Linked DNA regions of Diceros bicornis minor. The protein of the gene in region 1 interacts with the protein of each later gene in a biochemical or structural test. Links are inferred from orthologs where the notes say so. Each region holds a gene or a part of one and is shown in the gene's direction. Other genes may lie near its edges.

What was found.
Region 2: the proteins of WBP11 (region 1) and PQBP1 form a complex in vitro, tested with the Homo sapiens proteins (2 studies listed by BioGRID and IntAct, with this or other methods). The link is inferred for Diceros bicornis minor from reciprocal best matches to the Homo sapiens genes WBP11 and PQBP1.

Annotation. Positions count from the first base shown.
Region 1 is NC_080756.1:46,417,409-46,424,353, forward strand, and holds the start of WBP11 (WW domain-binding protein 11), read left to right. Parts: upstream 1-3,928; 5' UTR 3,929-4,060; intron 4,061-5,771; 5' UTR 5,772-5,816; coding exon 5,817-5,880; intron 5,881-6,410; coding exon 6,411-6,442; intron 6,443-6,945. Other genes in the region: SMCO3 (single-pass membrane and coiled-coil domain-containing protein 3), read left to right, coding at 250-927. UniProt on the Homo sapiens protein: Activates pre-mRNA splicing. May inhibit PP1 phosphatase activity.
Region 2 is NC_080781.1:42,157,544-42,164,362, forward strand, and holds the start of PQBP1 (polyglutamine-binding protein 1), read left to right. Parts: upstream 1-3,800; 5' UTR 3,801-3,943; intron 3,944-4,217; exon of another isoform or gene 4,218-4,244; intron 4,245-4,355; 5' UTR 4,356-4,373; coding exon 4,374-4,440; intron 4,441-6,265; coding exon 6,266-6,377; intron 6,378-6,601; coding exon 6,602-6,714; intron 6,715-6,819. Other genes in the region: TIMM17B (mitochondrial import inner membrane translocase subunit Tim17-B), read right to left, coding at 230-318, 409-519, 606-734, 1,541-1,604, 2,635-2,734, 3,584-3,609. UniProt on the Homo sapiens protein: Intrinsically disordered protein that acts as a scaffold, and which is involved in different processes, such as pre-mRNA splicing, transcription regulation, innate immunity and neuron development.

The DNA of each region.
Region 1 (6,945 bases):
TGCCTTAATTAATGCATCAATAGGTTGTATTCTGTTACCCACATTTCCATACACTGACTCCAAGTTTCAGAAAAACAACTGTTTTGAAGAACCTGTTGAGTTTTCTGAGGAATTCCTTAGATAGCATATTGCTACTTTGCTATTCACAAAGTAAAAGATTTCCTGGTCAAATCTATGCAGACAGCAGATATTTTTCAAGATTTTTAGCAGAGATTTACTATTTTCTTTTTCAGAGATCCTATTTCAAATATGGCTCAGAGTGATTTCCTCTACCCAGATAACCCAAGGAGGCGGCAAGAAGTAAACCGTCTGCACCAGCAGCTCCTTGACTGCTTATCTGACAGCTTCCATGCCACCAACAAGCTGACTGGGGTTTTAAACACACACTTGGCGTGCAGCCTGGCCGCCATTGAGATGAAAAGAGATGGGACCATCAAAGAAAACTGCGATATCATCATTCAAGCCATGATGAAAATCCAAAAGGAACTGCAAAAGGTTGATGAAGCACTAAAAGATAAACTAGAGCCAACTCTCTACAGAAAACTTCAGGATATTAAGGAAAGGGAAACAGAGAAAATTGCAATAGTACAAAAGGTTATTTCAGTCATCCTGGGAGAAGCGACTTCTGCAGCCAGTGCAGTGGCTGTCAAACTTGTGGGCTCAAATGTCACAACTGGCATAATTAACAAGTTGGTCACGGTATTAGCTCAAATTGGTGCTTCTCTCCTTGGCAGTATAGGAGTTGCTGTTCTTGGCCTTGGCATAGACATGATCATCCGTGCCATCCTGGGAGCAGTGGAGAAAACGCAGCTTCAAGCGGCCATCAAAAGTTATGAGAAGCATCTGGTGGAATTCAAGTCAGCCTCAGAAAGATATCATCAAGCCATTACTGAGGTCACCAACACAGTGAAACATCAAATGAAATAAACAGCCACTTTATTTGCCACTGGAATACTTTTCTCCTTCTTTCTCAATAATAGTTTTGCTTCTTTGAGTAGGTTCATTTTCCATAAGCTTCCAACATAGGCATAAATACAGTAAACAACTTGGAAAGAGGAATTAGAGATGCTAAAACTAGATGACTCTAGAGTTTTCCAGTAACAATGAATGCCTGGATAGGTTGGTGCTAGACCCTGAGGTAAAAGATTATATTCCAGGATGTCTTCTCACTCTGTTCTACCAGATCAATATAACTGTGAATGCTACTGGAGAGCAGTAGGTGTAGGGGTTAACTTCTCCTTTTCTAACTCCCAGTCAAAATCCTTAAAATTTACATTGAATGCAGAGACTTTCATTTCTCCCACCACCTTTGGACATCATGTACGTGTAAAGGGACATACTTAGTAACTTCTGCCTGGACACAAACTCTGGGTCTTCGAATGGGATAGAAATACTACCATAATTTTGACCATCAGTTTAAGTCAAATTTTCTGTAAACTGGAAGAGACTGAAATATGGTTTGTAACAATTTACTTCAATGATGAAAGGAGGCAATGGTTCTGTAAACCACTAATTACACACTATAATCTGGACAGATTTTTAAAAGATAAAAGTTGAAACTAAAAAAATAACGGTTCTGTCTCTATAATTGCAATCAACCCTGACCAACTGTGGTGTGATGATTAAATATCCCTTAAGTGAAAGTTTGAACATTCTGGAACATTTAACAACCAAACAGGGAGGGGCGGGCCAGGTGGTGTAGTGGTTAAGTTTGCGTGCTCCGCTTTGGGAGCCTGGGGTTCACAGGTTGAGATCCTGGGCACAGACCTACATACCGCTCATCAAGCCATGCTGTGGCAGCATCCCACATGCAAAATAGAGGAAGACTGACGGAGGTTAGCTCAGTGACAGTTTTCTTTAAGCAAAAAGAGAAAGATGGGCACCGATATTAGCTCAGTGACAATCTCCCTCAACCAAAAAAATAAAAATAAACAAACAAACAAATCCCAGCTATATATGCACAAAATGCACTCAGGATGCAGGAGAGGAAGTAGTTACTCTTTTAAGAATTTGTCATTTGGGGCCGGCCCGGTGGCGCAAGCGGTTAAGTGCGCGCGCTCCGCTGCGGCGGCCCGGGGTTCGCTGGTTCGGATCCCGGGCGCGCACCGACGCACTGCTTGGTAAGCCATGCTGTGGCGGCGTCCCATATAAAGTGGAGGAGGATGGGCACAGATGTTAGCCCAGGGCCGTCTTCCTCAGCAAAAAAGGAGGAGGATTGGCGGATGTTAGCTCAGGGCTGATCTCCTCACAAAAAAAAAAAAAAAAAAAAAAAGAATTTGTCATTTAAAGGAAAGTTATAATTTATCACCTTATGAGTTTTCAGGAAGAAGATATTTCATTTTTAACACTAGCAGGAAGGAAGTTGCCCTTGCTATACAAAGCTTTAAGTGGCCTATTTCACTAATTACCTAATTTCAGAAAAATCCAGAGGCTATGGAGCCCTAATGGTTCAGTTGAATTTCTGAAGATGCAAATGTCTGTTCTCTAAATCCTTCACCAACTAATAACTCCCCCAAGACTCTTAGGTTCCACTTACAAAATTATTAATAAGATGTTGATGCAAGAATGTGTTTGTTATAACTAATTTTTGCATCCAAGTTCAAGAAATGTCTTGAAATTTAAAAACCTCAGCCTATCTCAAAAATTAAAAAGCTAGATGAAATATTTTAATTTTTCAAATGTACTCATTTTCTTTCTCTTCTGTCATTGCTTTTTTAAATTAGATGCAAAACATCACAATATAATTCACCTTCAAAATTAAATCTTATTTTCTTTTTTGTTTATCATCTGATTTATAAGCTTTAAACTACAAGACCCTGTTATTGCTCTTTCTGGAACTCAAAATGCAGTCTAAAACCAAATCAAGAATTTTCTAAGACAAGGCTTAGTTCAGGCAAAGGACCAATATCATATGTACATTTGCATATTCTGCTAAAAGTTAATATGTATCTCAACAATATTTTGGAATTTTTATATTGATAAGAATCGGTCTGTATTTAACATATTTTCCTATAAGGGATATTCAGATAAGAGCAAAAATAAACAAGCACGTCCTTTAAGAACAGAATTGTTAAATGTTTAAACTTACCTTTAAGGGGAAAAGATAGGAGTCTTAGAGACTAAGAACGGATAGAAGACAGGGAGAGAACGAAGACTCGAGCTAAGGGATAATTCTCTATGTTTAGTGACATCATAAAGGCCTTTGGGCTGGGGAAAAGACCAGAAGGGAAAAGAGCCAATGTAAATCAACTTCCCCATTGTAAATTTAAACCCTACTGCACATGTATCCCCACACTTCATCTTCAAAAGACTAATCTTCTAGATTAGCAATCTGGGACTCTTAATACGGACACTGATTTGCTCGGGCGTACAAATGTTCTGCGTGTCTATAAACAACTACATACTGCGCTTCCAGACAGACCTGACGCTAGCAAAGCGCATCAAACACAGTAGCAAGTGTTAGTTGGGGATTCGTTTTCGAACAGACGCTCCCCAAAGATCTCACTCGCTTACGTCATGAAAAAAAGAAAATTCAAAAACTAACACAATTCCAGGACACAGAAACAGGGCAAAACACCTCCCTATCTTCATTCAGCCGGTATCGGGCGGCGCAATAACTCGAACTCCCGGACATGAGGTCAGAATGCCTCCGGGCCGAGAGGCGGGGCAGTCGTCTCACCAGCCAATCATATATCAGAGCCGCTGCCTTTTTCTTATTTCTATTGACCTAGATAAGTGTCAATCAACGTGAAAGAGTCGTACTGCGTGGCGAGGGCGGGCTCTTAGCCGATAACCAACCAATTCGGTATCGTATTGGAGCGGAAGAGACTCTGGCTCTGGAGTTCCTGGTTACTCTCTATGGTTCCAGGGCGGAGAAACGCTGGGATCCTCGGCCCGTAGGGATAGGAAGTGACGTAAGGATGGCGGAGGGGCGCGAGGTTTCAAGATGGCGGTGGCTCAATGGCTGACCGGGAGGCAGAGGTGAAGGCCCTTGCGAAGTAAAAGAGGCCGAGAATCGTCCCCGCCCCGCTTCTCGCAGTCCCGGGAGCCCAGCAGAACTGTGAGTGTGCAAGATTGTTCCACTCTGCTCCTTCATCTTTCCCGCCCCTTTCCGGGGCCCGCGCGGTTGCCTGGGACACCAGGCCCCTCTGCCCCGCTTTTCCTCTCCGCGGTTGGGGTTCCTGGTCGCGAACTGTGGGATCCTCGAGCCGGGGGCGGCGCAGCGTCCAGCGGTTTAGTAGCTGACTTCAGCCTGGTCGGTTAGCCCCGCCTCCTGTCTGTGCGCGTTGACCGGTTGCCTTGGGTTTGCTGTCTCGACTTCGAGTCGCGGTCAACCGTCGCTATGGTTTCGGCAGTTGTTGCTGCTGTTGCCTCTTCTGGTGGACCTGGGCTCCGTCCCATTGGAGCCTCTATGGCTGTTTAGGGTTCCCCCACGGTTTTGTGGCCTGATTTCCCTGTTCCCTCTGCTTTTAGACAAAAAAGTGATTTGTGCAGACTGAGGCGCCAATGCCTTCTGTAAAAATTCTCTGCAGTTCGTATCTGTTGTGTGTTTCCGTTGTGGGAGAGGAGAGTCAGAACATGAGCGTAAGGGTCATTGAGAGAGGAAGGCAAAAGCGCTACAGGCCATCAAAGATAGGAGAGCTTGTATTTGTACTAATTTTGCTTGTTTCCGCCTTCCTTCTCCCCCACTCCGTTTTTCCTAGAAGGAAACCCTTGACAGGGGTATAAGTTAGTTGCCACTGGAACACCTTTGAAGCATTTAGCAGAGATCAAGGCAATTGAACACTTGCTGAAAGAGGCATTATCTAATAAATTTGCCTGCCAGTCTCCATAAAGGGAAGAAGGGAAGGTATAATTGTAAGATCTACTAAAAAATTTACCTCGTCATCTTCCCTTTCCTGTTCCTTAAAAGTGTCTACTTTTAAAAGGAAGAAAACTTGTCAATCTTTATTATTGGAAAGAATGTCAAAAGTTAAACCTCATTCATTTGGAATAACAGGAAGAAATGATATAAGTGTCTTAGGTTAATAAAAATTTTGACTCACCAGATATTTTCCCTTAAACACAATTATTCCTTTCAGTTACCTTAAAAAATACAAATCAAGAGGCAAATAGGTACTAGTTAAGAAAAATATATGTCTTAATGTTGACGTTTTTGGAAGTTCTCTCATATAGTACGTTCATTTCGAATATTGGCATTTTTATGTTTTAAGCTCCCACTGGAGAGTCAAGAATTAGATCTGAATTAAATCTAAATCTGAATTAAATAGGCTTAAATTAATGAGGTTTTTACTGCCTTAGAGGTGTTGGGAGTACATGCCAAGAAAAACCGTGCAGAGAGGCAAGGGTGAGCTGTTTGTCATTGAGTCCAGATCATTACTCCATTCCCTTTTTATTCCTCTTGCATGCTGCATATGAATAAAGGGAGGATGTAGGAAAAGGACTAGTGGCCTCTCATGGTTTTTGTCGTATTGTTGAAGCATTTTCCGATGATTTGTTTCAATTGATGAGTCAAAGTTGTCATCCATAGAAGAAAATTAAATCGATGACTTAGTGATATTCAAAGTAATCTTCAGAACCATTACTTTTATAAATAATAACAAATCTAATTTTTCATGGTCAGGAAGGTTGAGGTCATCTTTCCTGGACACTAAAGTCAAAACTAGGGAAAGAGCAAGGTCTTTATAATCAAAAGAATGTTTCTTTTCAAAGATTGGTAGGAAGAAATTTTGTAAATATAGGAAAAATAAGCTATTTCTTTGTCTTCACAGGTATTTTTTTTTTTAATGAACAAGTAAACCATACAGATTGTCAACATGGGACGGAGATCTACGTCATCCACCAAGAGTGGAAAATTTATGAACCCCACAGACCAAGCCCGTAAGTGTCCATTATTGTGGAATGATGAAGAAGAGGAGTGGTAAAAATCACACACTTTAAGGAGTCTATTTCATTATGTCTTAATTACAGGATCAGCAGTGCTAGGAGGTGTCAGTTGTATAAAGTTATCTAGTATTCTTGTGGGCACATGATTAAAACTTTAAACATACAAAAAAAGTTAGTACCCATATTTCTAATTTGATTGACTTGGCTTAAATCTTTCTTTTTGTATTTGGAATTTTGAACAAATTGTTTTTGCATGCTCTTATTTATTATTTTATGGAATCTTTTTCGTTCAGATTCATAGTTATTTTTAAGAAACTTAAGAATATCTTGAGACATTTTTAGTTGACGTAATTAGAAGGATGCTATTGGCATCTAGTGGGTAGAGGCCAGGGATGCTGCTAAATATCCTACAGTGTACACAGAGCAGCCTCCCACAATAAAAAATTATCTGTATTAAATTGTAGAAAATGTTAACATTCAAGATTTGACAGTTTTATATTCTCTCTCTCTTTCCCTCTCTAAAGGAAAAGAAGCCCGGAAGAGAGAATTAAAGAAGGTATGATTTCAGAAACATCCTATTAGATATAAGTGTAGTTTGGTACATCCTGTTATTTGGGATTGGTGGATTTCAAATAACATTTCCCATTATTTGCCAGAAAAGATACTTATGCTTCTTATAACACTATAAAATTTGCTAAGCCAAAATACTATATTTGGAAACTGAACTGAAATAATTTTGCGTATAAACTCATGATAGGTTATTATAACATTGTTTATTTGATTACCTTTACCAATGAGTTAAAAACTTTTGAAAATAATTTCTTTTTGGCATTTATTATACTGCTTTGTTAAATGCTACTGAATTAGTGAATGGAAATAAATGTAACGCTAAATAGCTTTGTTCATCCATTTTCCTGATTATGTAGCTGTTAAGTTTGTGGCAGAGAACTTCCCCAGGAAAAGAAAGGATTTACTTTTAGTATCATGCCTTAACACTTTGAGAGAACTTAGTTTTTTAGTAGTTTTCGGTTGTGGGTTCTTGTTTCATTATTTAGCATT
Region 2 (6,819 bases), on another chromosome or scaffold:
AGAGCTTGTTACATGTGAGTGTGAGGCTGGGGTGCCCTGAGAGAGAAGGGGACCTATCCGTCAGGGCAGCTGGGGTGCCCCACCCCCACCCTGGGACAAGGCAGCAGAGTAGAGGCCCTCTCTGGAAGGTCCCAGGGCAAACTGGGAGCCAGCCCTCCCTTCGAGGTAGATCATCGGGGAGGGAACCGAGGAGGCGCTCCCACGGTGGCGGTGATAGGCGGTCACTTCCTCAGTGGTATTGCTGATAGCTGGGGTAGCCTGGGGCCGGGGTACCCTCCTTAGGGGGCAGCTGGCTGGGGTCCTCCAGGAACGGGGGTGCTGGAGAGGGGAGAACCAGGTAAAGGTGAGTGGAGGAGGCTAGGCAGAGGATTTGCCACCTCTCCCTGATCAGCTTCGCTAGGTACTCACCATTGCGGAACTGCTGGGCAGTGTAGCGAGTGAGGAGGATGCCAACACCCTCGATAAGGGCCAAGAGAATGCCCCCCATCATGGCCGAGCCCACCATGGCCAATGGGCCACCTGGAGGAGAGAGAAGGCAGGGAGAGAGAGGTGAGGGCAGGCAGAACAGGGTGGAAGGGGCTGGGGCCAGGGACTGGGGCACTTACTGCGGGCAGCCAGCACAGCCCCGGTCAATGCTCCACTGGTGATGGAGTTCCAGGGATCTTCCTTGCCCCGCAGCCGTACTAGGCCGCAGTCGATGGTGGAGAACAGGCCCCCCCACACCGCGAAGCTACCTGCAGGGGGACCAAGGCCTAATTAGTGTTCCTGGGGAATCCTGAGAATCCACGGCTCAGGGTCTGGGGACTTCCAAGGCCTGAGTGCTCTGGCAAAGAATGGGGAGCAAAACCCAGACACAAAGGCAGAGAGCAAAGGAGGTGGGGATAGTCCCCATCTGTCCCTGTGGGAGCTCCTTCTTCAAGCTGTCTATAATCGCCATCAACACTCCCTTCCCCTTCAGAGCGAGTTACAAGTGTTCAAAAGAGGTCTATCTTCTATATGGCTTTGAACAAAGCAACTCTGATCTTCACAACTACCACAAAGAGTTGAAATTCTGATCTTGGTTTCATGGAGAAGGAAGAGGTTAGGAAAGCCCGTTAACAATATGATAGCTAAAATGTTTACTGAGGCCTTATTGTGTGCCAGGGCCTGATCTAGGCACTGCATGCTATTTGACTTCTGAAATTTCAAATTAGTTAATATTATTAAAGTGCTCAGCAGAACAACCGGCACTTAGTAAGTACCATGTAAATTACATACATTACAAAACGACTGAGGTAGTTATTATCATCATCCCCGTGTTCCAGATGAGGTTCAGTGAAGTTAAGCCACTAGCCCAAGGTCACACAGCAAGGAAGAGCCAGGGCCTGGATTTAAACCCCAGAACTCACTCATATTAAATTGTTGGGAAACATCACTCCCCCAGGAAGTCCTAGGCAGAGTTGAGGCTAGAATATGGACCCCCAACTTGCAGTCTAGACCCAAAGGAGGAACCACCCCCAACTTTGCCATCACATCTCCTATGTCTCCCCAAGCCTCTCACCTCCAATCTGGGGGGCTCGGATCCTCACAGCGTTGACACTACCTCTCAATCGGTGCCGAACTCCCTGGGAGAAAGTGAGGAGGAGGGGAGTCAGGGCAGGGTTAAAGCGACTGGCAGACAAGGTTTCTAGCTTTTAACAGAGGGAAGGGGGTGGGAGACCTGTTAGGGGTATCAAGGGTAGAGACATGGAGAAGAGGCCAAGAACAAGGGGACTGGGGAGCACCTCACCATAGGTGTTCTCAGAGCTGGGTTGGGAAGCTCTCATTCATTCATTCAATGATTACTCAGCTCCTATGTGCCAGGCACCATGCTGTCCACAGGGATACAGCAGTGAATAAGGCAGACCTGGCCCCTGCCGTCTCAGAGCTCACATCATAGTGGCAGAGACAGATCTTGGGCAAGGGTACAGATAAACAATAGCTTCAGACAGCACTATGCACCCTAGAAGAAATAGAATGAAGAGGTATGGTAGTGGCTGAGGGGTCAGGAAAGACCTCTTTAAGGAGGGGGCATTTGTGCCGAGACCTTGAGGATGAGAGGGAGAAACTCAGGCAAAGATCCAGGAAAGAGAGTTCCAGGAGATGAGGGGAGGGACAGGGCTAGATGTATCAGTTGCAGAGACCCTGGCAAATGGATGGCATTTAAAGCCATGACATTTGATGAGATCTCCCAGGAGGAAGGGTATCAGAGAAAGAGACAGAATTGATTATGTTAAATTAAAAGCATTTTCTCAACTTTAAGGCTGCCCTCCTTCTGCCAATTAATCTCCTGTCACTTCCCTCTATCCAGGTTTCTGACCCAGAATCTGCCTCTAGGTAAAATCTTTGCACACACATTTAGGATTTAGCGATGACCATTTTGACAGCACAAAATTTCCACAGAGGAGCTCCAATTGGGTGCGGGGTGAGGGACAGAGGCCATGTTTGCAGTTCTCCCAAAACCCCTCATCCTGGAGCCAAGCCTGGCACATAGCAGGCGATCAGGAACCAGAATGAATAAGTGCATGTGACTGGCAGCTCCAAGCACTTTTCAGAGCAGTATCCCAAGCGGACAGGGCAGGATCCTGGCACCACCCAGGGAAGGCCAGGACTCACGACAGGGGCGTTGCGGAAGCCCTTGATGGCCTGGAAGACTCCGCCGCCGATGACACCCATAGTGAAGGCTCCACCGCAATCATCCACAATTCGCCATGGGCTGCAAGCGGGAAGGGGAGATGGGGTTAATGTGTGCCCTCCCCCATGCCATGTCACATGGACTTTCTAACTGGAAGAAACCAAGTCACCTGAAAGGGAAGTAGCACTTCAGATAATGAGATTATTTTTCCCCTCATTTAAGCAAGAAATAGTGCAAAACGGGAAAAATATTAGTCTTTGCCCAGTCCTACCCTCCCCTTCGCAGTCAACCAAGGAATCAGCTTTACTACTATCAAAGATTAAATGAATTGATACAAGCAAAGAGTTGGCACGTTTAAACAAGCGCTATAGAAGTGTTGACTAGCTAGTATTATTATTAAAGCAGTACAGGGTCACAGCCCCTTCTCCGACAACGAGCCCATCCAATCAAGCCCCGCCCTTTCCCCCTTTTTTAACCGCGCGCGAATGGGAAAAACCGAGAGCCGACCGTGGGGAGGATCCAGCACCCCCTCCTTGCCCAGAATAGGCTCATCCAGGCCCCGCCCCCATTAACTACAGCGACCTGGGAAAAACCACGCGTGGTAACCCTGGGGATTTCCGCTCAACACACCACCCCCCAGCTGGAATGGATTCGACCAGCGTGTCTTTTCGTTAACAAAGAGGGGCTGGGAGATACGTAGTCAGGGGAAACGTGGGGTGGCTCGTCCTTCACTTCCAGGTATACAGTTGGGGCCCCTCTTAACGGAGCCCGAGTGGGAGGAATCAAGTGGAGGGGAGCAAAGGAGACAGATTTTAAACGTCTCCCGAGTCTGGGATGTGGCGCTGTGTGGCCGGTGCCTCCCCCGCCCGCCTCCCACAGCTGGCCGTGGCACCACAGCAACAGTCCCGATGCCTGTGCCCATCGCCGTACCAAGGCTCCCGAGCGTACTCCTCCATGGCGCCGGCGTCCTGCCGCGCAGTCTGGCTAAACCCCGGCCGGGCCACGCCCCCACTGTAAACGCACACAGGCGCCCGAGCTGTCCAACTCTTCCAGGGCGACGATTGGGTCGCTTGGCCATACGTCAGGCCAAGGGCGCGCTCTCATTGGTCACCCCGGCTTGCGTCGTCTGTTCACCGCAGCCTGAGCGTCATCCAGTTACTCCAAGCCTCGGGGAGAGAGGACCTCGTTCTGTGCTTTGGGAGAAGAGAGTTGTGGGGTCCTGGTGATCAAGGGGCGACAAGAGAGAGGCGGCCGGTCTGACAGCCTTCCACTACCCGCGTGACTGTATTGGTAACGTCGGAGTGGGCGCATTTTTTGGAGCGGGAGGAAGTACTGCATTCTCCTCCCCCTTCTCAGCGCTTTGGTTCCTCCTACCCGGCAGTCTTTGGGGGACGTTGGGTGAACCCATTTCTGGGGCGCGGGGGAGCTGTGCTGGCCCCTTCAGCTATGGGTGGAGCCTGGGCCTGGGATAGGAACCCGGTCATGGAGCACCCGGCCTGGAGGGGAGGGTTGGTGAGAGTTTTGGTGATATTGCCATCTATCTCTTCCGCCTTCTCCCGCTTAGGTTCCGTCCACCCAGCTACTGTTGCAGGTGGGTAGGTGGGGGTCCAGATGAGTACATGCTCGGGGGAGGCGTTTGGTTACGGGCTCCAGATTTGAGTCCTCATCTGAGCTGGTTTTTAGTCTGTCCATCTGTCCCTAGGTCTGTCTGCTACCCGCTATGCCGCTACCCGTTGCGCTGCAGACCCGCTTGGCCAAGAGAGGCATCCTCAAACATCTGGAGCCCGGTGAGAGCTAAGAGCAGATGGGCCTACCATGTGCCAGGCTTGAGAGGCACTTTGTTGTTGAGACTGCCACTTGATAACTAGCATGGGCCTACTGTGCACCAGGCAGTGGGGTGGCAGGCATTTCACTGTTAAAAATGGGGATTCCTGACACCCATTCCTACCATGTGCCAGGCATGGGGGAGATAGATATTTCATCCTTAATACTGACAGCTGATGACTATTTTGGGCCTACTGTATGCCAGGTTCAATCCATCAATCAATCTATGGAAGTGGTTACAAAGTATCTAATAGTGAAGATAGCTGACATTTGCAGTCTCCTGTGCGTGCGCCAAGTACAGTGGCAGGATGCTAATACTTTGTTCTTTACCATACTCATAACATTATTTCAGACCTCCCATGGTGTCAGGCACTATGCTGGTGATACATACCTTATTGTTCACATTAATAGCTGACATGTATTTTGGGTCTACTAAGTGCCTGGCATACACATTATGGTTAACAGTATAAAATAACGATAGGATCTATCATTTAGGCCTACTGTGCTGCTGCTGCTAATATTTATACCTTGTCAATAATAGTAAAAGCTGGCATCTATTTTGAGCTATAGTATGCCGGGCACTGGAAAATACATCTTATTTTCACCGTATTGATAAGTGACATCTATTATAAGCCTACTGTGTGCCAGGCATAGATCTTGTGGTTAATAATACTGATAATGATCATTGATATTTATTTTAAGCCTATTGAGTACTAGGCCCTGTGCTGAGAGTATATATATCTTATTAAAAATACTGATGATTATAGCTGATATCTATTTTGGGCCTACTGTGTGACAGGCACTATGCTGTTGCTGACATATACAGGCATACTTCATTTTATTGTGCTTCGCAGATACTGTGTTTTTTACAAGACCCTCCACCAGCAAAAAGATTACGACTCGCTGAAGGCTGAAGAATGGTTAGCATTTTTTAGCAATAAGTACTTTTAATTAAGGTATATACATTGTTTTTTAGACATAATGCTATTGCACACTTAATAGACTACAGTATAGTGTAAACATAACTCTTAGGAGCAGTGGGAAACCAAAAAATCCGTGTGACTCACTTTATCGCAATATTCACTTTCTTGCGGTGATCTGGAACCAGACCTGCAGTCTCTCTGAGGTATGCCTGTGCATTTCATTGTTAGTTATTTCTGCAGCTGAAATCTGTGATAGGCCTACTGAAGGTCAGCTACTGGGCTGACAATATACACCCTTTTAATTTTACTGATATGAACTGACAACTGCTGCATGCTTACTATGTGTCAGGAACTGAATAGATTCAGAGCAGTGTTTGGATAAATCCCTTGGTATCCAAACTCTTGCTACTCAATATACAGGCGTCAGAAACCCCATATTTGCCAAGTTTGGGAGCTGAATAGATTTGGACATATTTTCAGATAAACCCCTTGCTGTTCAAACTCATTTGATCCAAACAGATTTGGATAGTGTGGTGTCACATACTACCTGAACTCAGGAACTGAATAAATATGGATACATTTGTTGGTGAATCCCTATCTAAACTCTGAAACCAGATAGCTTTGGGTAATAGCTTTGGGTAACATATCTTATGTGAACCCAGAAACAGAACAGATTTAAGTACAGTTTTTGGTAAATCCCGATATCCAGATAAGTGGCTTTGGAATGTGAGCAGTATCTGCCAGGGCCGGTGAGACCTGGCACACACACGTGGTCTGTGTGAATGCTAGTGTCTCTCCAGGCTCTAACTGTAGGATGAGAATCCCCCTGCTCCTCACTGCTCTCCTCCTCCCCCCGCCATGCCAGAACCAGAGGAAGAGATCATTGCCGAGGACTATGACGATGACCCTGTGGACTATGAGGCCACCCGGTTGGAGGGCCTGCCACCAAGCTGGTACAAGGTGTTCGACCCTTCCTGGTGAGCCTGGGGACCTGGCCAGGGGGGAGGGAACTGACTTCTGACTTCATCCTTCCTGTGCTGTCCCTGACCTCGGGTTAAGAGATCTGGGGGTCCTCCCCACGGGGTCCTGACATGGGCCAGGTAGAGGCGGAGACTGGGGAGACAAGAGTTGAGGCTACAAGGAGGTAACATCTGTGCTGACATTCCTTCTCTATCCCTCCCTCCCTCCCACTGCCCCACAGCGGGCTCCCTTACTACTGGAATGTGGACACAGACCTCGTGTCCTGGCTCTCCCCACATGACCCCAACTCGGTCGTTACCAAATCTGCCAAGAAGCTCAGGAGCAGTAATGCAGGTGAGTTGGCAGATCCAAGGGTGCCTCAAGGGCTTCTAGTAGTTCTCAGAGAGGGATCAGGTAAATGATAGTGAATCCAGGAGCATCAGGTGCGATAGGCAGGCC